Neodiprion lecontei: one gene and its partners. The protein of the gene in region 1 purifies or fractionates together with the protein of each later gene. This does not show direct contact. Links are inferred from orthologs where the notes say so. Each region holds a gene or a part of one and is shown on either strand. Other genes may lie near its edges. The genes, in order: 14-3-3 protein epsilon, bifunctional purine biosynthesis protein ATIC, actin-binding LIM protein 2 and GRB2-associated-binding protein 2.

Region 1 (7,668 bases):
AGTATTTTTTTTTTTTTTTTTGCGGTACTCTTTACTTGGCAACGTCTTGCAGGCTGAAATTTTAAAGAAAAGAGGATGCTTAAAATTCCCATGCTGCACAACTAATACATAGTACAGAAACAAATATGATATAATTTAATAAATTGAAATAAAAATAAAGGTGGCGTGTGAGCTTCCAAAATATTTAATTAGGGAAGCAACTAGGCTTTGTATACAATATTATTACGAATTTTTCCTGTCCCAGATTTACATTTGTTATTTAATATTATTACTTTATTATCACCATTATTATTATTATTGAAATGAACTTATTGTGTATCCCTATTCCCTGCTGGAATTACATAATAGTGTTGGACTGTTTTCATTAAGATTACATAATTTGAACTTGATTTGTATCAGTATCGGATGAATTGAAAGTACAGACTGTACGGAATTCATTTGTCCGCTTTCAACTTGTTTACGATCCACTGTTATTTCAATAGTGTCATCACACTTACAATTAGACATGATAAATTTTCAAATCGCAGATTATCCTCGAGATTATCTAGGCTCAGAAACGAAAATTTCAACATCTCTTACATTTATGTATATCAATCAAAGAATTAAGCACCAACGACTGTACTTCAAAGTCGGATGACATTGCCCACCAGCTTTTAACTACAAATTCCTCTCCAATGAATGTCCAAAAATGAACATTTGAATGATTCATATCGTGAGGGTTTGAGGAAATTGAAGCTCGATGAGATTGCCATTTGTCGATCACTAGCTGACACCTTGATAGATCAATGGGTGATTCATCTTCAAATTTTCACAACTACAGATTTCTACTTGCAGTATGTTGTACTGTTATGTTAAATCCGTACGATTATTCCCAGGCTGTAATCTAATTTTAACTGTTGATAATTATTGAAAAGATGATACATTATCTGTATACATATAAATACAAAATAATTATTAAATAAATAATATTAAAAACATAAATAAATAAAAAAATATAACGATAATCTGGATAGCGAAAATATTTGGATATTAGAGCTTGTATAGTAGGCATTCGTTGAAGAAGAAAAAATACAACTGCTTCGCTATATGAAGTTTTTATTCCATGACAAGATTATTGAATATCCTTGATCACAGGTTCATACCAACACCCGCATTCCCCACTCTAGTCTCTTGACATTTTTTTATAAATAATGTTTTCCTATCGTCAATAAAAACTAATTTTATTATATGCGCATCGTGCGCGATGTATAAATTAGTATACAGGTATACATTTATACATACGTAAAAATACACGCGTATTTTTTCATGTGTATTTTTAAACTTCCTTACAGCCCGCCGGGCTTTAACATTTCAAATCACTCTGTTGGCTATTTGTGAAAATCAGCATTCGCTTTCTGACGGACAGTTCGTAATAATATTACTAATTACAAGTGTTAAATTCGCATTCGTATTAAACCGGTGCGTATCATTGCAGAAAAATTCACTAATCTTTATCGTGGATGGGGGATTGAAGTTATTTTAAAGCGGCGGATTTACCTGGAAAGCGGACCTACTCATCGTCATACGGCACTAACGTGACGTCACGCGTAGTAATACATTCCACGGCCGAATCACAATGAGTCTTCGAACCTACGCCAATGGGACTGCTTTCGATTGTTGGCGGGCGCCGCCATCTTGGTCAGTGAGCTTGTAAGCAGCCGTCCGAGGAGGTGTCCGTTTTTCGGTGATACGTATCTAGTGCGAATTCTCGAATCCTTTCAGCGACCCCGTGAAATCCGCTAGCATCCAGGATGTCGGAGCGGGAGGACAATGTCTACAAGGCAAAACTGGCCGAGCAGGCAGAACGCTATGACGGTGAGTCGTTATTTTTAACGAAATCTTTCGGCTTCCAACAGAAATTCGGTGAAATTCGTCGATGACCTCACGAAAAAACCTTTCCACAGCTAATTATTCCGTGGTCAATTTTTCCGGTTGTTATACTTGACAGACGATGGGCGTCCTCTCATGTATTTGCACACTTTTTTTTGCCACTTATTTCCAAAGAACTGTCAAAATCTAACTTCAAACGTCAGAACTGACAAATTCGCCTACCGCGCGCAATGCCGGTCCCTCGAGGTGACCCTCCCTTTTGCTTCCTACGCGTTTCTCTACTCTTGATCGGCACTTTAATTACAGCAATGAATAATTCTAGAGTTCGTCGTGGTTATGCCTCGTTAATCATAATCCATGCCGAGTGACTCGGGACAACGTTGCTAGGCGTGTAATCGAACGTGCGATAACCGCATTTCGAGTGACGCATAGACATGGGAAGGCAAAGCTTTTAACCGCACGTATCTATCAACTCGTGTCTAGGCATAAAATCCCTCAAACTTATCGGGATTATCTTCTTCTTCATTGGTTCTTTTTTTCAACCTTGTCCCCATGTCGCGTCTCGTCCTATAGAGTTCCATCATTTCTTTATTCCCGTCCAAAGTAAAGTATGGCTATTCGCTTGGGGACTTTTCCCCCCTCCCGTCTGTGGTGCCTTCAAAAATTACGCTCTACATCTTCGCGCAGTCGTTTACACGCGATATCGCTGTTTCAATTTACATCATTGCGTTTTAAGTAACAGTACAATAAGAACAAGTCCCGTTTTACGAATTCTTGAAAAGGAACGACGAAAAAAACACTACCATCAACTTTTCCCGATTTCTTTTACAATTGAGAACAATTGCGTATACGCAATGTCGTCTTCTTTGATTACTCCGGCAAATACATGCTATGTAGTAGGCTGGTACTCACTGTTTGACAGGAACATGCATTACCTCATGAGCTGTATATTATCTGTTAAGAGCTCCGTGAACGAACAGAAGAGATAATTGAAAATCCGCCCTACTACGGAGCTAAAACCCATTAAAATGTTGCAACAGTTTATCTGTGATGGCAAATCACTTAGATCTTCATTCAGATCCAAACGATATTTCATGATATCACTAATCTTCTTCACAAATATACGTGCTGTGATTTTGGAAAAAATATATAAGTACATTATTTTTAGGTAAAATTATTAATCTAATCTTGATTGGATGCCAATCACAGCATGAACCTATTAATGACTAGGCAAATATTTGAATAGATAAAATATTTATCAAGAAGATCTCAGTCAAAAAGGGTATCAGTGGAGGGTTTAATTTTGAGGGTAGTAAGAGCAAGCAGGCAGAGGGAGAACCAGGCAAGGGGATGAGTGAAGCAAGGGAGGTCGTAGCTGAAGGAAAGTATTGATCTGTGCCTGCTATCCTGTGTCCCTGTACACTCTCTAGCCCATGTACTTTATTCGTGTTAACTCTCTGGTCTTATCAATTCATTGAATAAAAGGAATTACTATGCTACATCAATCATGTATTTTATGCATTTTAGAGAATTATTCGTTTTGATTGTTTTATATGTGCATTTAATTACAGCTGATTAGCTTACACAATTTTAATATTGATTTATCGTAATGATTGCTTGAAGGAGTCTCACCTTTTTTTAATCCTCGTTAAGTTCTCGTTGCATAACGATAATATTTCCATTTTTCAAATTGCTACTTTGGTTGGAGAACTCTCAAGGACTTATCTGCAGGTCCATTTGCTACCGTTTCTCATTCGCTGCAAGAGACTTTAAACTTCATTTAAAGGCAAAGGGTTGCTATTCTGTTCCGTTATTTGGCTTTAAGAAACAGCTGTAAAACTTTTACATTAATCGTAGTTGTTACATTGCTATAGTGTCAAGTTTCATTTTTCTTCGTTTAAGATGTCAACACATATTAGATTTTAAGATGTCTAATTTTCCACTTTCGTCTTTACTTTTAAGGATAACTTTTAAAAATCTTATATGACACTTTAAATTTCCCAGTAAAATATGCTTTATACGCATATTTGTACGTGTCATCTCCAATGACCTAACAATTTTGAGAAAACGGATCTTGATTTTGATCTTTTTAACAGAATAATTTTAAAGGACATTGAGACGAATTTTGCTGTTGTATTATAGGCATTTCGAATTGTTGCAGGAATTTTCTTGTTAAGAAAGGTGAAACAATGCTTTATTTCCTTTTGCTAATTTTTTCTTGCAATTCTTTTACATAAAGTAGAGAAGTTTTTATCAAGAAATTCGAATTATTCAATACATGATTTACAAACCAAGTACTGGACCTCTGGTTTATATGTTATTTAATGAAATGCCAGCTGGAGCAACTGGAGTTCAAAAATTATATCACAGTGATTCTACGTAAATAATGAAATAGTGAATAAAATGGTGTAGATTGCAAACTCTGGATCAAAAAATTTGACAATTACCTCAGAAACTCCCAGTATTTCCGAAAATCACGGAATCACTGACATGGTACTCTGAAATCTATGAATGATTTATGAATCAGAAATACCTCAGAATTTTATTTATATGCATGTAACTTTGTAAGTGATTTTTTTTATTCGTTAGCTCTGAAAAAATTCTAATTTTGACAGTAATAGCTACCAATTAACTTACTATTTTTGACCCCTTAGTGACACCTAATAAGTTCTTGACTTAGATAAAAATAAGAAAACACGAGATAAATAAACTTTGTTTGTCCTCTTCATCAAGTCTTCATTTTCGTTTTTACACATCTTTCATCAGCTAAAAACAGAAGTGTGTGAAAAAATTATTGCTCTTGTCTTGAGAAAGATGTTCCGTAAAGCAAAACTGCATCCTGGCATTTGTAATCCAATGTTAGTTAATTGTATCATGTGTCATAAATTTGACAAACGTTTGAACTTTAGTCATAATATTTGTATTGCAGAGATGGTCGAGGCGATGAAAAAGGTAGCATCCCTCAATGTGGAGCTTACCGTCGAAGAGAGGAACTTGTTGTCCGTCGCGTACAAAAATGTGATTGGTGCGAGAAGAGCCTCATGGCGGATAATCTCTAGTATCGAGCAAAAAGAAGAGAACAAAGGGGCTGAGGAAAAATTGGAGATGATTCGCCAATATCGTTCGCAAGTTGAAAAAGAACTCAGAGACATTTGTGCCGACATACTCGGTGTCTTGGACAAACATCTTATCCCCTGCGCGTCAACCGGCGAGTCTAAAGTCTTCTATTACAAAATGTAAGGACTGTAAATTTATTCTGTTTTATCATTATCTCATTTTCCATATGACATTTTTACTGAGAAACATTGATTCGGTTACAGGAAGGGTGATTACCACCGTTACCTTGCAGAATTTGCAATTGGTAATGACAGGAAGGAGGCGGCCGAGAACTCACTGGTTGCATACAAGGCGGCGAGCGACATCGCAATGACAGAATTACCACCTACTCATCCTATTCGCCTTGGACTGGCTCTTAACTTTTCCGTGTTTTACTATGAGATTTTGAACAGTCCCGATAGAGCGTGTCGCCTTGCAAAGGCTGCCTTTGACGATGCTATTGCTGAATTGGACACCCTTTCAGAAGAGAGCTACAAGGACTCAACTCTCATTATGCAACTCCTCAGGGACAACCTCACCTTATGGACCTCGGATATGCAGGCGGACGGTAAGTCATAGTTATTGTTCTATTGACTCAATAAGGGTTTATGAAATGATATTCTAAATCTTGAAAATTCGTGAACAATATAAAAAGAATTAGTCTTAGATGGGGCATTTTCAATTTCATATCTAGAATCTGAAGTAGAGCAGCCAACTGTTCAAGGAGATGGTGCTATACCCATTACAAGTGATTCCCATCCTTAAGAACACTGTCCAACTCCCCCTCCTTATACCATCATCAGGTTAGAAATATCTCCTTGCTGATCAAGGTCAATTTAAACCAAGAACACCTGTTAATTGAATCGAACAATCAAATTATGAGATTTTCAATAGGATAATTTTCTCTGTAGTTTTTAGGTAAAATTATCATTGATAAAAAATTTGTATTTTCTTGTATTACTACTTAAGTTTTCAAAGATAAAATTGAGCTACTTTTTGTAATAGGCGAAGGCGACCAGAAAGAGCAGCTGCATGATGTGGAAGACCAGGACGTGTCGTAACTTAAGTTGCAGTGAGTGTCATTCGCGCATACAAATGAAAGAAAGAAAAAAAACTGTTAATAATTCTTAAGCAAAAAAAAAAAAAAACAAAAAAAAACAAAAAAACATACAGCGGGTGGGAGTTCAGGGTGGGGAGGGAAGCTCTTTAGCTATCATGTGGTCGTACGTGTGGTAAAACACACATGCGTTCACTCCAAAATCATCCAATCACATGTTGTTGAGTTATGGAGCACGCAGAAAAAGTATAAGAGACGCATCCTGCGTATTAGTGAGATTACAAGCATTTAACAAAGTGAAAATCCGCTGCCTGTTGCAATATTAGTTCCTGGCTGAGTGTAGCTTACACTGTTGTCCTGGGGACCAATTTGCTATATGTAGTTTTCTACATTGCGTACGCTTGGATCCAAATTCTTGAATGCCAATGCGCCGAGACCCTAATTGATAATCAATAATTATGTAATCTTTTAAAAAAATGTAGTTGAACTATCATTAACGTGGATCATGAGAAGAGGTTAGAAAAAAACATAAACATTAACATTTACTCCGTGTAAGAAAAAAAATTGTTATTACCATTTTTTTTTTTACAAACATTCTTATGCTATTGATACGTGCTGAGACATTAAAAATACGAACACTTTGCTACTAATGCAAAATTTTTCATTTTTCCTTCTTTTTTTTTATAATCATAACATTACGTGTATCTATGTGGCGCATTGAAATAAATTATTTTATCCATCATCACCTATATTCATGTACATCAACGTAAATTAATAATCAAACTTATCAATTTGTGAATCTTCAAAATCAATTCGTAAATTGAGAAACTAATAGCTCTCTTTTTATTCGCATCCCTTTTTTTTTCGTTCTTTCTCTTCGTCTTATCCACGTAGCTTAATACTTTTTCTGGAGATTTTACGTAAATATCAGGTATTTCTGTGAAGAAGCTGATGTCTGGTAATCCTGCATGAAACATCTGATGGTGAACTTTTCATTGTATTGCATTCGTTGATCATAAAATGTCATGGAGAGTACCACAATATCTCTTGTTCCTCATATACTTTTACTTACGTAAAATCTGTAAGAGTTTGAATTAAGCGTACGCTTGCAAGACGGACACCGGGCATGCTTAAAAGAAACAATAAAATAAAATTGAAAGAGAAACAATTTGTGGAAATTGGTGTGTGGCGTGCCCCTACATTTAAGTATTATAGCAGTAATATTAATTCTTAATTATATTATAAATATATTACAAAGAATAACATTAAATAATATTGATAATACCATAAGTAAGTATATTAATAATAATTTTAATTGTACAAGGAGCCGATTGAAGTAATTAAGATTAACTTTTGCAATAGTGAAACGTTATATACTGTAAAATTATGAAAATACCACGGGGTATTTAATTATTGAATCTAAAAACAAGACATTTAAAAAAATAACGTGAAAATAAGACAAATGCCAATGCTGACAATGTAGGCAACACACACACGCAATTCGATAAACACTTAGAACCAGTAAATCATATTTTGGAATTCGCATGCGTTCACTCTGTATTAGGAAATTAATACAATACACCAATTACGACTTTTCCTGTAAAGCCACACATGAAAACTGAAAATAAAGTCATTATTACTGTCTA
Region 2 (5,772 bases), about 9.2 Mb from region 1:
AAAGTTTTGATGTTTTCTAAAGCTTTGAGGCAACCGTAAATTTGTCTTTCAGATTTAATGTTTTACAAAAAAAAAGAATGAAGTTCTAAATGTGGTGAACTATTACACTATATTTATGCGGTTTCTCAACAAATTCTTTAATTTATGGATTTTATACATATATTGGAGCTTCAATAGCCACCCTATTGTTCTAGATCTGCCTTGAATTGAATTTGCATTACATATTTATGTAATAACAGCTCGGATTCTTTGAAATAAAGAAAAATTACGATCAGAAAATTTCAAACTATCGTGTTCCCGCAATAAGTAACAATGATTGTTTTGCTTAAATAAATATCGCAATAATTCAATTGGATTGTTCAAAAAATAATTGCACATATATTTCCATGACCTGATTGCAGAGTCTCATTTCTTATAATTTGAAGTGACAATCTCGTATTACTTAATGGTTGAACAGTTAGTTTCATCCACCGTATGACACTTGACACTTGAAATGATTGTTGCAAAAATTTCAGCGGTATCCATTCATACCTGAACTGTGAATTGACATAATCCTTGCGTTGAACCAACCCGCGCTCCTAATCGCGGTAGTTTTACTCAACCGAAAGGTTATGTTGGACATCTAAAATGAAATGAAGATAAGTATTTGTCTAAAATAGACTGGCGGGTGAGGTGGATTTTTAGGTCAACGAAACATTACCATTGTGTCAGTTTACTATTTATCTACTACGATTGTGTTCCGAATATAAGTAAATAGAAAACTTGTTTCCAGGCAGAATTCTTTATCCAAGAATTCACCAAATATTACTATAGGAATGGATGGAATTGGAGTAAAACTGGTTTAGGAATACTCGCAAAGTTACGTAACTTTTCTTTGTTCGGCGTTCCCGATAAGATTTCAGTTCGACAAACACCGCTCCATCCAATTTACGATTGGCATAATCATTATTCCCGCTGGAAATTCATTTCGAGATTGGTAATTGTGCTCGTACTACTGCCAACACGGCCGCGATTGCATGACACGCGTGTCCGCGTTGTGCGCACAAGGTGCGTGCGTGGTGAAGAGCGTTGAGACGTTGACTGAAGAATATGTTGAGAGTTCGGAAGTTTTTCTTTTATGAACTTGGAGCATATCTTTCAGTGATATCCATTGTCCTATTGAAAAAAGCGGGGATTGGCCTGCCGCAAAAACTGAATGACAACTTACCGACATCGACGATTATAACAGATCAGTACGGGTACACCTTATGTTGTCAACGAGATTCAAAATGTTCAAAATGAAACGTTCTATGTTTCTATGATTGACTGTTAATTAAATACATTTAAGGACACACGGAAAGGTCGCTATGTTATTCTATTGGTTGTATGAAAGCACATTATTTACGATGACGTAATAATCGTGTTATAAATATGAGCGCTCCCAGCATAATGGAATACATATTTGAATAAATGTCTTATAACCGGCCTGGCAAATATATTTTTGTTCCAGAGATGTTTATAAAATGCACAGCGCTTCAATGTCCGATAACTTTTGACCCTGGACCCCCGCAGACCGTGAGATAAGTCCTTTGACGCACTCGGTTGAACGAGCTAAATAACAATTGGCGGGATTGAGGCTATAAATGCAGGGATCCGCTTCAGGGTCATACACTTGTTGCCTATCGAACCATACATACGGCACGCGTGTCTGACTCCATTGAAATTAATCTCGTGCCCGTTCAGGCATATTTCGGTTGTGTTTTCGAAGACTGAAGGCTCCTTAACTACCGTAAATATGAGTGGAAAGCTTGGTGAGAATCATTCTGCTACACATTTCAATTAACTTTATTTATATTTACCAGCATTCTTATTGCTCAAAATTCTTTGTGGAACTTACACCGGTTCCCGAGATGTGGGTTAACTTTACCTTTGTATCGGCACATACATTTTCCCTTTACGAAGATACGAACTTAGAATATATGTAATATATTTTATTCCGCAGCCCGCAAACTCACTGTTGTAATTATGTATTTGGTAATGTACTGGATATCCTCCCCTTCAAACTAATAATTGATATGGATAAATTATGATGATAGTTGTTTCTTTTATTTTCTTGCATCCACATCAGTTTATTATCGTTTATTGCGATTGTGCCTGAGGTAAAACGTAGGCACAAAACTGTTATTAATATTGTGTATTTTGTTGCAGCTTTGTTGAGTGTGTCTGATAAGACGGACTTATTACCTTTTGGTAAAAAACTATGTGACTTGGGCTTTGTACTAGTCGCATCCGGAGGTACCGCCAAATCTCTGAGAGACACTGGCCTACCAGTTAAAGATGTATCAGACATCACGGGAGCTCCTGAAATGCTTGGCGGACGAGTTAAAACTCTTCATCCCGCGGTTCATGCAGGTACGATTTAATAATCTTTAGATTATTAACAATGATAATGTGTGGTAAATGATTCACAAATTTAGCCTGAATGAATGTTACTGAATTCAATATGGTTCACCAATAGTCATTGAATTTAATGGTCATTAATCTATGTGTTTTTTCCAATCTCTTTGGCTTTGATATGTTCTATATAGTCACTTTATCATTTAATTGTAATGTCGAACACCAAGATGTACGAATCATGCAAAGGATGGTGCCTTTCCGATTACAATATCTCATGAATGAACAGAGCTATATAATCATTTAGGTTAAATTGAACCCAGTGAAAATTTTGTATGTGCTTTTTAATATTATCATTTTATTACTATGCATTTATAGGTATTTTGTCTCGCTTGAGTGATTCAGATCAAGCTGATCTGAAAAAGCAAAATTATGAGATGATAAGCATTGTAGTATGCAATCTTTATCCATTTATGAAGACCATAACTAAGCCAGACGTCATTGTTGATGATGCTGTAGAAAATATTGATATCGGTGGTGTGACTTTGCTAAGGGCTGCCGCTAAAAATCATGCAAGAGTCACCGTTATCTGTGACCCTGTTGATTATAATAAGGTTATCGAAGAACTGGAAAGCTCCTCTGACAGAGATACTTCTCTTGTTACTAGGTATTCAAGCTTTCATTTTTATATCTTATTGGGTTTTAATTGTGTTGTTATTTACTTGCTTTAAACTTCAGAATGCCCTAGACTTATGCTTATATTATGCTGTATTTTATATTTTTGTACTTAGTAATTAGTCGATCACGTGAAAAACGATCACAGCACAAGTCTTACCAGTCATTGATATTCATTATTTAAGTTTTACCACTTTTAACTTGAAACTTTACCAGCTAAAGGTGTTAAAGGTTGTTTAAGGGCCAATAGCATGACCCTAACATATATTTATTTTGAAATTGCAGACAGTCCTTGGCTCTCAAGGCATTCACTCACACAGCTGAGTATGATAATACCATTTCTGATTACTTCCGTAAAGAGTACAGTGCAGGAAAATCTCAGCTTACACTTCGCTATGGCATGAATCCCCACCAAAAACCAGCGCAGCTTTTCACTACTCTAGAAAAGCTTCCGTTGACAGTTGTTAATGGTTCACCCGGATTCATAAATCTTTGCGATGCCTTAAATGGTTATCAGTTGGTCAAAGAACTTAAAGCTGCGCTCAATTTACCGGCTGCAACTTCATTCAAACATGTTAGCCCAGCTGGTGCAGCAGTCGGTGTCTCACTAGATGCCGACCAAGCAAAATTATGCCAAGTCGAAGATTTGTTGGATAAATTGACTCCGCTAGCTTGTGCGTATGCTAGAGCTAGAGGAGCGGATAGAATGTCTAGCTTTGGAGATTTTGTTGCCTTGTCAGACCCTTGTGATGTCATTACTGCCAGGATTATTTCACGGTAAGAATTAGCAGTATTCACATAGTTTTCATGATCAGATTTCAATGTAGAATTTCAATCTTAATTGGAATTTCTAAGTGAAATTCAGTTCCAGGTTATTTAATCATTATTTTCCATTGCAGCGAAGTATCTGATGGCATTATTGCTCCTGGTTATACACCAGAAGCACTTGAACTGTTGAAAAAAAAAAAAAATGGCGGCTACTGTGTTCTACAAATAGATCCAGACTACACACCAGCTCCTGTGGAACGCAAAATTCTCTATGGTCTTACCATGGAACAGAAGCGTAACGATGCGATCATTGACAAAAATCTATTTACCAACATCGTAACACAGCAAAAAGATTTACCAGAAGGAGCCATCCGAGATTTGATTGTAGCAACCATAGCTCTCAAATACACTCAAAGTAATTCTGTATGCTATGCACGAGACGGACAGATAATTGGTATTGGCGCTGGACAGCAATCTAGAATACATTGCACAAGACTCGCGGGTGACAAGGCTGATAACTGGTAAGTTGTTGATTTACATTGGGTATGTCGCAGTGAACTGAAACGACCTTAGTTAACCTTCCCACAAAAAGAAATTTGCATTTGTTGACTTTTAAGTTGAAAACATTTCATTTTAAGGTGGCTTCGTCAGCACCCTAAGGTTACGGGAATGAAATTTAAAAAGGGGATAAAAAGGGCAGAAATTTCAAACGCCATAGATAACTACGTAAATGGATCAATTGGAAAAGATATGGACCGAGAAAGTTGGGCTGCTGTTTACGCAGTGGTTCCAGAACAGTTCACTGAAAAGGAACGATCAGATTGGGCTAAAAAATTGGATGGTGTTGCTCTTAGTAGCGATGCCTTCTTTCCTTTCAGGGATAACGTTGACCGAGCCAGATTGGTTAGTAGAGAATTGAAAATTCTCAGTTATCTGCTTTCATTTCTAATCGTTACCGTATTGTAACGAACTATTTTTATTGCTAAATTTGTTTTATTACAGAGCGGTGTTCGATACATTGCTAGTCCAGCTGGTTCCACCAATGATGAAGTTGTGATTAAGGCTTGTGACGATCACAAAATCACTATGGCACACACCAAACTTCGTCTATTCCACCATTGAATTGTTTAGTCCAATTCGGTATATCCCCACTTAGGGAAAGTTGCTGGATTTGGGTGATATGTAGTGTATGTTATCGATCTGAGTATTTCGAATATTCCTGTTATTCCTAGATAAATGTATTTTTATGCATTACTGTTATCACTATTAATTTGGTAGTTTTATACAAATTTTGCCATATTATGTTATACGTATGATATATAAATTTAATGATTTTAGGCTCCTTGGTATTTTTCAACAAGACTTGTATTTCTAAAGATGTTCAATATATTGCTTTTTCTAAATAACCTAATTTTATACGTACATTATTTCTTCACTTCTGTACAATTACACAATATTGAAAGATACTTTAAGCTGTACGTAAGATTTAAATTTTCACGTTATAATTCTACACCTAACAGAATATTAGGGTAGTTGGTTATATGCCCCAGTTTTGAAATGTTATAAAACCGCTTCATTCAGAACCAATGATTCATTTTCAATGTTGGCTAAATTCGGATCATTCGGTTTTCAATAGTGTTCCATTATCTCCCATGTTCCATTATGAATTGATTTAATGGGAAAATAGGCAAAACTGTTCTCTTGTCTCATGATCAGTAGCTTAGTCTGTCGAATTTATTCCATGTGAGCTGAACGGAAATCATATTTTCATACAAATAAACCTCACAGAAATTCAACCATCATTGTTAAACGATGAAAACAAAAATCGATTTTAGCGTTGAGAAAATGCGTTCGGAATTCAGATTCTACTGTCTTAAAACTTCAAACTTCGTATCCAACCATATCCAACATAAAGTTGAAACGAAGGGAGCTTCGGTATCGGCTTGCCGCGACAGC
Region 3 (4,680 bases), on another chromosome or scaffold:
AGCCGATGTCTTACCGAATGCCACAACCATTGATACCATTCAGCACGATGTAGTTAGATGTTCTTTTAGTGGTATACGCAGATGGTATCAAATTCGCTATATTCGCATCTTAGGACGAGAACCGAACGGACGCTATTCATAATGACTGGGTTACAGAGAAAACCACATGAATGTAACGATTCGTTCATATTCAAGTTATTACACACTACGCTCCGAGAAGTTTGTAATTCAAGACGTTGCAATCTTATCTTTACTTAGAGTCAGATAGCGACTGGATATTTTATACAGTTCGTTATTAGCAAGTACTATCAAACTGTCGATGGAACTAAGAACAAATAGTGATTGATTTCGATGTGAAATTGTTTTCATTTCAAAAGAGAATAGCGTGTTACATTTTTTTTTTCAACGTTTCACCTGTAAAACTAATGATTGCATGTAATTTTTTTGTAATTGCATCTTTCGTACAGACATTTTCATCGAATGTCTATTTGTGGTATTTGTAACGTTATGTATTTGTAAAGTTATATTTGCAATCCCCTGTCCGGGGGAGTTATATGCTACGATATATCAGAAAATGGTAAAATCAACACGAATGATGTCACAACTAGGAGAAATTTGCTTATCATCGCATATCTCAAAATTTTTTACTTCCGACTGATCACGAAGACTCTTGTGATTTTTACCGTTAGCCGAACTATAAATAATCCTTCCCGGTGTAACATAGTCGAAGGTCGAAAACTTGTATGAAAAAGTATACGCAGTCTCCGTCAATCAATCGTGTCTAATGGCGAAACGAAAAATGTCCATACATCCAGTGCCTCGAATGAGATGAGGTTGGAGTTCTATGTGACGTGGAGTTACACGTTACGTTAGTGTAACAATACATATTTTGGGACGATAAATCGTTGTTTCGCAACTGCCAGATTGCCTGAGATTTGGTACACTGTAATCATGAAAAAAATACTCATATTCTGCAAACTTCAACTACTTCTGTCTCATTGTAATTTGCGATATGGCGGTTATGTCTGAACGTATCGTCATGTAAAACAAGTCGGTTGTGAAGTCGCGTTATGAAATTCTGGGACTTTGAATGAAGAAGGGTGGGCTGACGGATGGTGCGCAGGCCAACCATGTTTATCCTGCAGCAAATTAGTTGTATTACGAAGCAATTGGACATTGCACGAAATTGAGGAGGAAGATTCAAGTGGGTATTTTCAGTCTGCAATTTTTGCTGCATTCACAAGAACGGTATTAGGTAGTGCGAGCTTCGTACATCCTGAGGTAACCTCGAGTTACCAATTATAACAGTTAATCGTTTGGATTGTTTTTCACGCCTTTATCTTATCGCTAGCGGGTTAGAGCCGAGGCAGACGAGGTGTGGAGTCGCCGCCGCACCTCGAGAAATACGTGCGTCCCTCACCTTCGGACTTACATAACTGCCGTAGGATTATTGCTGGAAACAACATATAAACCTGCGTGAATCATGTATATATATATATATGTATATATATATATAGCAAAAATATAAAATCTCTTATTCCTGGTGCGTGTGTGTGTATATATATATATGACATGACATGACACGATTCACCTAGGTTTATATGTCATTTTCAGCAATAATCCTGTTGCACTTATGTGAGTCTGCATGTGTGAGCGTGCGTGTGTGTGTGTATACCAAATGAAGACCAAGATGGACGAAAAGCTTACCTCGATGGAGAGCAAAAATATAAAATCTTCTCCCGGTATAGGTGTGGCTGATAATAATAATAATAATCAGACAAAAAGTGCCGAGGATACAAGGAAGCTTTTCAAAAAGCGTGAGAATTTCTACCATTATCATCCGTGTGTCAGTGCAATGTTCAACATAGTTTTAATACTAGGTCTGAGCTTACGATACGCTTCGTAGACATGATTTTTTTTCCGTATTACAATTACCATTTTTTGGTGGAAATGTACGTAATGTTACGGAATATTCAAGTACCTTGGGTATGATGACGAAACGCCGTAAAGGTGTCCTTGTACTGATCATTTAGCATTATACGAAATTTGTTAATATGCAATTATAAGAGGCTACGTATGTAAGAATCGTACACAGTTGCTAGAAGCTGACATTACAGCCGACCTCAGAAGTGCATTAGGTTATTATATTTGACCCCACTTGACAGCATCCTATTTAACTCCATGTCTGAATTGTATTAACATATCATTAAGAATTATAGTGGCATTTGGTCACATATATTTCGCATGTGTTAAAAAATATAGGAATGAGTTCAGGAACGAGAAAAAAGAGTGAAAACGAAAATAGCAGCGCGGAAACAGTAATTTAGCCAGTCCGATGAAGAGTTCAGCGTTTACAACATATGACGTCATGTTAAGTGTTATTATGATGTCACCACGTATTTTTAAACCGTTGTAGCGAGAAGGCTTAATACATTATACATAGATATATATACCAACAAGCATATACATGCATATACTGGATACTTATATGTGTACGGTTTCGATTGTTTACGCAGTTATGGATATTTGCTCTCGATTCGCTCCTTCTTACTTGTTGCACCAACAATTGAAGGCCTATTGCAAATACCGAAAACGGGTAAAACATTGATAATTATCCACTTGAAACTCGAGTATATGCAATTTTACGTATTACTGAAACTTTTAAAAATATCAGAGGTCAATTGTGCCCCACTTGTAGAGTTCGTCAATTGGTTGATGAATGAATCTGCGATTTGATCAATTAAAAGACGATAAAAGTACGTAACAATGAAAAATATCGAAAGTACACCGTGTCGGAGTATAAAGGCAGATCACTCTGTGCCAAATTCTATGAGCACATCATGAACCGCAGAATTGGTAAAACCACTGTATAATCACTCGTCAATTTTATTTTGGAGACAATTTACTGCTGCATAATTTGAAAATTTGTGTCAACCACCAGCGATAATTAATACAACGGATGTCGAAATCCTCTGCGAATATATAGGAACTTGAACAGGATCTTGAAATCGACAAAGTCCTGATTTTTATTGTTCAATATCGTCATGAAATTCTTCTCCCAGTGTCGTCGACTGCCTTGTCGACTTTCACGGTGTTATATCTATAATGTCGAATGTTTTCTCTTTTTTTGTCGGATGTGGCCCAGTACGCCTGATCACGGCGTACGCGAGCATTGAAATTCTTGCGGCTGTTCAGAATAACATGACATACCTGATTTGTTAAATCTTTTCCAGATACATTATACTTTATTTATTCGAAAAAATTTTCTATACGAAACCTTTTTTACGTCAAGGTGGTTGTAACGGAAATTAAAAAATGAGATAAGTTGTTGATATTTACAAGAGGCATTCATCCGCAAAATATACGTCATCTATTAAAAGTTGATATACTTTTACTATTTCATTTCTGATAAAATAGGGTTCGGAGTTCGTATCTTAAACATATGCTTAGATAGAAATTGCAAAAAATAAGTGAAATTGTCGTACCCCTCCTTGAGAAAAACATTTGACATTCATATCAAAACATATTAGATCATGTATTGTATTTTTTTTCATAATTAGATAACGTGTTCATAAGTTTTCATCGTGCCATATATGAAAAATATTCTAAAGTAAGACTGTGAGGTATAAGCGACTCTGCACCTCTTTTGCTCTCTTAGAAGGAACCTTCACGCGTCACCGCGCGTTTCACTCGCACTATTTCGCCGCGCCGCACGCTGGCCCGCTTACGTAGTTGTCATGATTTTGACGTTACAACCTCCTTAACTCCGCGGATTCGACAACTCTATTCACATGGAAGATTGGGAAAATTAGAGAAATTTTCAAACTAATGATAATATTGGATAACTTTGATATAAAGCCTGTAATACAGTTTTATTGTCCTAGTAATTTGCCCATTGCAAAAATTACTTGTTTGGGATCCACTGTATACAAGGTATCCCGTTTTAAACGAGTCATGACGACATCTTGAAAACTGAGCGTGGTTCACGAAAAAGTTTTAGATCAAAGTTGTTCGGTTTCAAATGCCAAAGCTGTTGAATTATTATATAAAACTATTGAGAAGTTGACGTGCTTGTAGGTCGTGCCGAATTTAAGAAATCGAAATAGGGTTGGCATCGTATCTTGCCAGTCATCTCAAACGTCAAATACTATTTGCTTTGAGAATGTTGAATATTATTTGTTTTGATAACGTTTGGGTTGGCTGTGACGGTATACGATCACTGAACTCTCATACGATTGTTGCATTTCAGCTGATACTACAGCGGATACGATGCTTAACCTAAAATGCGAGCTGTAACTCCAGTTACTTAAAAAGGCGTATGTATCGTTCCGCAGATAGAGAACCTCACTGTACACGTCCTTAGTCAACGTTGAAATCAACAAAATAAGCAGTTCTTAAATACAATAAAAACGGGCACGTGACATATCGTGAAAAACTACAGCAGTGCTAATAATAACATATAAGGGATACAGCGATACCCGAATTCCAACTTTTCAAGTTCCCAAAAAATCTATGAGGTTGAAGTTAATAACTTTACTGTAACAAGGCTTGTTTAAGAAATATCGTTACTTCGCACCTTTAGGATTATCTGAGTAGACCACAATGAACAAAATATATTCATAATTTGGAAAACCAACTTCTTGAAAGTCATTCCTACTTGAACTTTAATTTGTGAAAAAA
Region 4 (4,727 bases), on another chromosome or scaffold:
TGTTTTAGGTAATTAACGGTATACATTCGCAAACCTTCTCTACCAATTTTTATAGTTTCGGGTAGATATACTTTGACAACTTTTGATATTTGTGTTAAACACACAGTCATCATGCCATCGGTATCATCTATTTCCTAGTCTAATCCAATTGGTCGAGGAACTGCTTTCCTCTTTCTTTTGGCCATTGCAACTTCTTCGCTGTTTTGGTGTTCTTCTACGATTTGACTTGTTTCTCCGTGTTCATCATCAGCTTTGAGCTCATCTTTTAGAATAGATTGCTCTTGTGCTTTAGTATCATCATCTGAACTTACACTCATATCTGATACTGCACTAAAATCAGTAGTTAACTCTTCTATCCTAGGATCTGACTTTGCCATAATGATGGCTTCGAACAAATCTTTTAAATCATCAAAGACTTGTTTGGCTCCATCCGTTGATATGCCTTCTGCCCATCCGATTATCGTAGACTTTGACACTCGTTTTGCATGAAAATCTTTGTGAGTCATAATCATCTTAAGCTTGTCTTCATAGTTAGTAGCAGCTTGTCTAAGTGATATACAACATTCACATGTATATTCACGCATAGTGTCAGACATTGTGATCCACATAGCTAAGATTAAGGATATCCATATTTGCAAATCCATCATGAATCTTTTGGTGTCGTATTCACCAGATTCATCATCCCTGTAGTGTATTGGATGTGGACATGCTGCATGGAACAGAGTTCTCACTGCTTGAATGCTCATGCGATATCTTATCTCTTGCTGGTTTATTGCTCTTCTTCTCTTTGATCTAGTAAGGATTTTAGTTTCAGTCTGCATTCTGTATCTATATATTCGGTCATCGAAAATTTCTTATATGATCCATTATATTTTGGTGCATATCTGGGTAACTAAACCCCCGAAGAAAGGGGCGTGTCGTAGGAGTTCTAGGCACACCATGGGTGTATTCCGAAATATACTCGCAGTACTGCAAGTACTGGCAACTGAACGCTGTTGATCACGTGATCGAAGCACTGAGAGCACCTTACCTTGAAAGCACCAGTGTTCACAGTAGAAAAATGGCGACGATTTATGACGTCATATATTTCCCTAGGATACTGCGACTGCATACAGTCAGTCTATATCGGAACGAATTTCTCCCCAGTAAGAGCACTGAACAGTGCTCGCAGTGTATATTGGAACATACCCTTCGTGTTTTCAGTGTGTTGGCAAGTATTGAGCAAAGATCCAATCCTCTTTGGTCTGGTTTTTCATGGGCAACAAAATGCTGCCGCAGTGTTTTACTGCCTAGTTCGTGGCCAATAGGAATGTCAAGAAAATAGATATTTCACATTCAGCGCATACTAAGTGGCGCTAGTATCAACACATCGACTCATTGCTCATCGAGTTTTAATCATCTTCAAAAGGTAAGATAATTTTCATTAATTAATACAAGGATAATCCTATTCCCGGTTTGTTCGAAAAGCGGGATTGAGCATCCACTGTCTAGTGCATTCCAATGCTAGTTGGTATTTGGTCACCCAGAACTACTGATTGTGTCTAGCTGTGCCATCACGATTAGATCCAGTGTCTAGCTTCTGGAATCGTTGGGGACAGCAGTTGCGACGTCACACTCATGATTAAAAATCACCCTATGACTTCAATAGCAGATGTTTCAGTCCTCTTCATGCCATTGCTTTATACGTTCTTTATACTATGTCTTTTAGACGTTCGTGGATCAAACTTCCTGTAGTGACGAACGAAGTGAGATAACCTTATCTTACAAACTAACTTTGGTTGTGTGTCGAGATTACGATGCTCGTTGGTGAGCTACTTGCCTGTGTATCGACCAAAAATAGATAAATGGACCGAATACGTGCGTGTTAGTCGCTCGGTCTTCTCAATGATGTGTCATTAATCGTTACGACTCGTTAAGAAGTGTGTAGGGCATGGATACGCTCAAAACAAGCCAAGAAATCGTCCACGAAGGCTGGCTTATAAAATCGCCACCCTCAAAATTGTGGAAAGCGGTAAGGTTTCCTCTAAAATCTAATCGAAGATGACTCTTTCCATTGTTTACGTTAACCAGGGCTTCTATCATCCGACAATTAATCATTCCCATTTAACGCTCGGATAACCCCTGTTTTAATTGAATGGGATTCATACATCGTCAAGCCCCACTCTTGATCGGGACACTTCGAACCGTTTTAAATGGGTTAACATTTTTCCTAACAATATAACCGTCAGTCTAACCTAGGAAGTGAAAGATATCCTTTCCACCTCATACCTGGATACTCGTGAGACCCCAAAAGAATTTGTAGTCTTGTCTTTCCCAATTCAATTCTGAATCAATCTTTTTATTCGCTTGGGTTTTTCCTAATAATCATTGATTGTTTGCTCAACTGTGGAAATTGGCTCAACGCCACCACGGACAGCTAGTCAGGTATCTGTGTGTTGCACATACTTCAGATCTCGGTTTATCCTACTTAAATTTATGACGTATTCCTAATAATCATTGTTTGTTGTCAATTTACTTTAATCTTAGTCGTCTTTGTCATATTTGCTGAGCTACTGTTTCCAGTATTTTTACAGGCAACTATTCCAAATGTAAACTTATTTAGAGCATCTAATCAAAGCCTCAAAGTGATTATACATAATTATCAGTATTCTTTGACATCTCAGTTAGCATACTTAATTTTATTCTTATTTATGTGTAATCTTATTTATGTGTATGTGGTATAGAATCACTTGTCATAATATGTAGATAGCATTGTTGATGAATAATTTGTGTAATTTGGTAGAAGCACATAAAAATAATGTTACTTTAGGCAAATCTAATAATATTTGACTGTTTCCATTCATTCGTATGTAATCTTCCTTACATCTTTTTTGAATTATGATATTTTTCCCTCATAATGAATACATTTCAACTCTTACTTTTCTGATTTATTCACTAGGGTTCAATATCTTAGTTTTCATTGACACACAGCTCTGTGAATTATGCTGCAACGAAAACGAATCTCCTTGAAACTGATTCTAACGTAACTAACTAGTCAGCATCTGTTGCAACCAGAAAAAACCTGTTTCATCAGTACTGTCCAATTATTTGAATTCCAACAGAAAGTAATGTTCCACGAAAGTTATCAATGATAGATCTAGATATTGGACTGTTTTAAATCAATTTGGTGTTATTATGCTACATATGCACCTCATTTTGTCAAGTAGTTATTGTTGTCTGCCACACCCAATTTGTTTTTCGTAACAACATTGAAGCAGAACATTCAACAAATTCTTACCGTGTATCGTACCTCGAAACTGATTGCTCTAGAGATGGCGAAAGCGTTGGTTTGCGCTCCGTCACAGCGGAGAATTGCCTGGACAATATTTCTTGGAATATTACACAGACAGACGTTGCAGAAAGCTCAAGGGCCGCATAGATTTGGATCAATGCGAGCAGGTAATTATTTTTATTTCCAAAAATTCTAAAAACGTCATTAAAGTTAGTTTTTGCCAAAAATTACAAGTTATTTGCCATTTAAGAATGAGAATAATCGTTGATTAATCAACTACAAATGTGCAGGTGGATGCTGGCTTGAGATTTGAAAATCGAAAGCAGAAATATCAGTTCATGTTCGACGTGAAGACTCCGAAAAGAACTTACTACCTGGTGGCAGAGAGCGAAGCTGACATGAACAAGTGGGTTGATGCAGTTTGCCAGGTTTGCGGTTTGAAAGCTTACACACAGGATGATGAGCCGCACTGTCAAAGTAAGTCTGAAAATAAGTATCTATATCTAAAACTACTTGTTAAATTAACAATTCTGTTACAAATTGTCTGTTTATTAAATATTAATTGAATTTGAAAATGCAGATCTTTGTTTACGAAAGACATTTTTTGGTTCTTTGGTATTTTTGCTGTGTAGACGAATATACTTTTAACACATTCCAGTGACGCAAAGTAAAGTTGTCTATGTTTCAATTTTTCTCTTCAACAGTATTTCCATTCGAGCCTCAAGAGTCGCCTCCGATCTCACCAACCAGTACTATATCTGGACCCTACATTCCAATCAGTGAATGCATTTCTGGCCGCTCCTTGAACGACACAAGCTCTCTTAGTTCTGCCCTGGGACAGAATACAGAACAATATTATGATGCCCCAAGAAAGTTGGCTCCCTCTCCACCCAGATCTCCGACTACAACTGATGCAGAAAGTGTATTTACTGACGATGAATGGACTTCTCCAGTTCCTAGTGTTAATTGGGAGACATTTCCTTCGTCTCGTAAGTAAAAAATTGTAATTAAAGCCGCAGTTGACCTTAATTGATCAGCTTTAACTCACGGATATTGCTTTCAAAATTTAAGTGTATTTGCAATGATTTGTGAGGAAAGAAGATGCTGTCTCCTTTGAATTAGATTTTGTTTTTAGAAAATCAATCCATGTGTTGATTCCTTCGTAAAGGCTCATTTAATTGATTTGAGCTTTTTAGTAATATGTTACATAATATTGACATCGACTCAACTATGATTGTACAAATTAAATTTATTATCTGATGTTCCTAGAATTTCAACTATGAGAAACTCATTCTTCCGAATGTTTTTGGTTGGAAATTTACTTTATTTATTATTTGCATTCATATTAACTTTTACTGTCATTTTTTGAAATTTCTATTTGGACCACTTTCTTTTTACACCGTTTTTGATCCACCATTTGCCTATTAGAAATTGTCGTCACTTTCTTTTGATAAAT

What was found.
Region 2: the proteins of 14-3-3 protein epsilon (region 1) and bifunctional purine biosynthesis protein ATIC fractionate together in Homo sapiens (co-fractionation; 3 studies listed by BioGRID). This does not show direct contact. The link is inferred for Neodiprion lecontei from reciprocal best matches to the Homo sapiens genes YWHAE and ATIC.
Region 3: the proteins of 14-3-3 protein epsilon (region 1) and actin-binding LIM protein 2 purify together in Homo sapiens (affinity purification with mass spectrometry; 3 studies listed by BioGRID and IntAct, with this or other methods). This does not show direct contact. The link is inferred for Neodiprion lecontei from reciprocal best matches to the Homo sapiens genes YWHAE and ABLIM1.
Region 4: the proteins of 14-3-3 protein epsilon (region 1) and GRB2-associated-binding protein 2 purify together in Homo sapiens (affinity purification with mass spectrometry; 4 studies listed by BioGRID and IntAct, with this or other methods). This does not show direct contact. The link is inferred for Neodiprion lecontei from reciprocal best matches to the Homo sapiens genes YWHAE and GAB2.

Annotation. Positions count from the first base shown.
Region 1 is NC_060262.1:34,812,810-34,820,477, forward strand, and holds 14-3-3 protein epsilon, read left to right. Parts: upstream 1-1,661; 5' UTR 1,662-1,790; coding exon 1,791-1,854; intron 1,855-4,798; coding exon 4,799-5,105; intron 5,106-5,189; coding exon 5,190-5,533; intron 5,534-5,659; coding exon 5,660-5,730; 3' UTR 5,731-5,768; intron 5,769-5,970; coding exon of another isoform or gene 5,971-6,026; 3' UTR 6,027-7,668. UniProt on the Homo sapiens protein: Adapter protein implicated in the regulation of a large spectrum of both general and specialized signaling pathways. Binds to a large number of partners, usually by recognition of a phosphoserine or phosphothreonine motif.
Region 2 is NC_060262.1:25,615,743-25,621,514, reverse strand, and holds bifunctional purine biosynthesis protein ATIC, read left to right. Parts: upstream 1-1,624; 5' UTR 1,625-1,774; coding exon 1,775-1,790; intron 1,791-2,187; coding exon 2,188-2,391; intron 2,392-2,751; coding exon 2,752-3,040; intron 3,041-3,333; coding exon 3,334-3,825; intron 3,826-3,947; coding exon 3,948-4,337; intron 4,338-4,454; coding exon 4,455-4,719; intron 4,720-4,818; coding exon 4,819-4,938; 3' UTR 4,939-5,227; downstream 5,228-5,772. Other genes in the region: 3-hydroxyisobutyryl-CoA hydrolase, mitochondrial, read right to left, coding at 532-622, 1,208-1,213. UniProt on the Homo sapiens protein: Bifunctional enzyme that catalyzes the last two steps of purine biosynthesis.
Region 3 is NC_060260.1:13,824,391-13,829,070, forward strand, and holds the start of actin-binding LIM protein 2, read left to right. Parts: upstream 1-1,675; 5' UTR 1,676-1,678; coding exon 1,679-1,817; intron 1,818-4,680. UniProt on the Homo sapiens protein: May act as scaffold protein. May play a role in the development of the retina. Has been suggested to play a role in axon guidance.
Region 4 is NC_060265.1:9,032,977-9,037,703, forward strand, and holds the start of GRB2-associated-binding protein 2, read left to right. Parts: upstream 1-1,691; 5' UTR 1,692-1,930; coding exon 1,931-2,011; intron 2,012-3,309; coding exon 3,310-3,438; intron 3,439-3,561; coding exon 3,562-3,748; intron 3,749-3,975; coding exon 3,976-4,260; intron 4,261-4,727. Other genes in the region: uncharacterized protein LOC124294987, read right to left, coding at 135-821. UniProt on the Homo sapiens protein: Adapter protein which acts downstream of several membrane receptors including cytokine, antigen, hormone, cell matrix and growth factor receptors to regulate multiple signaling pathways.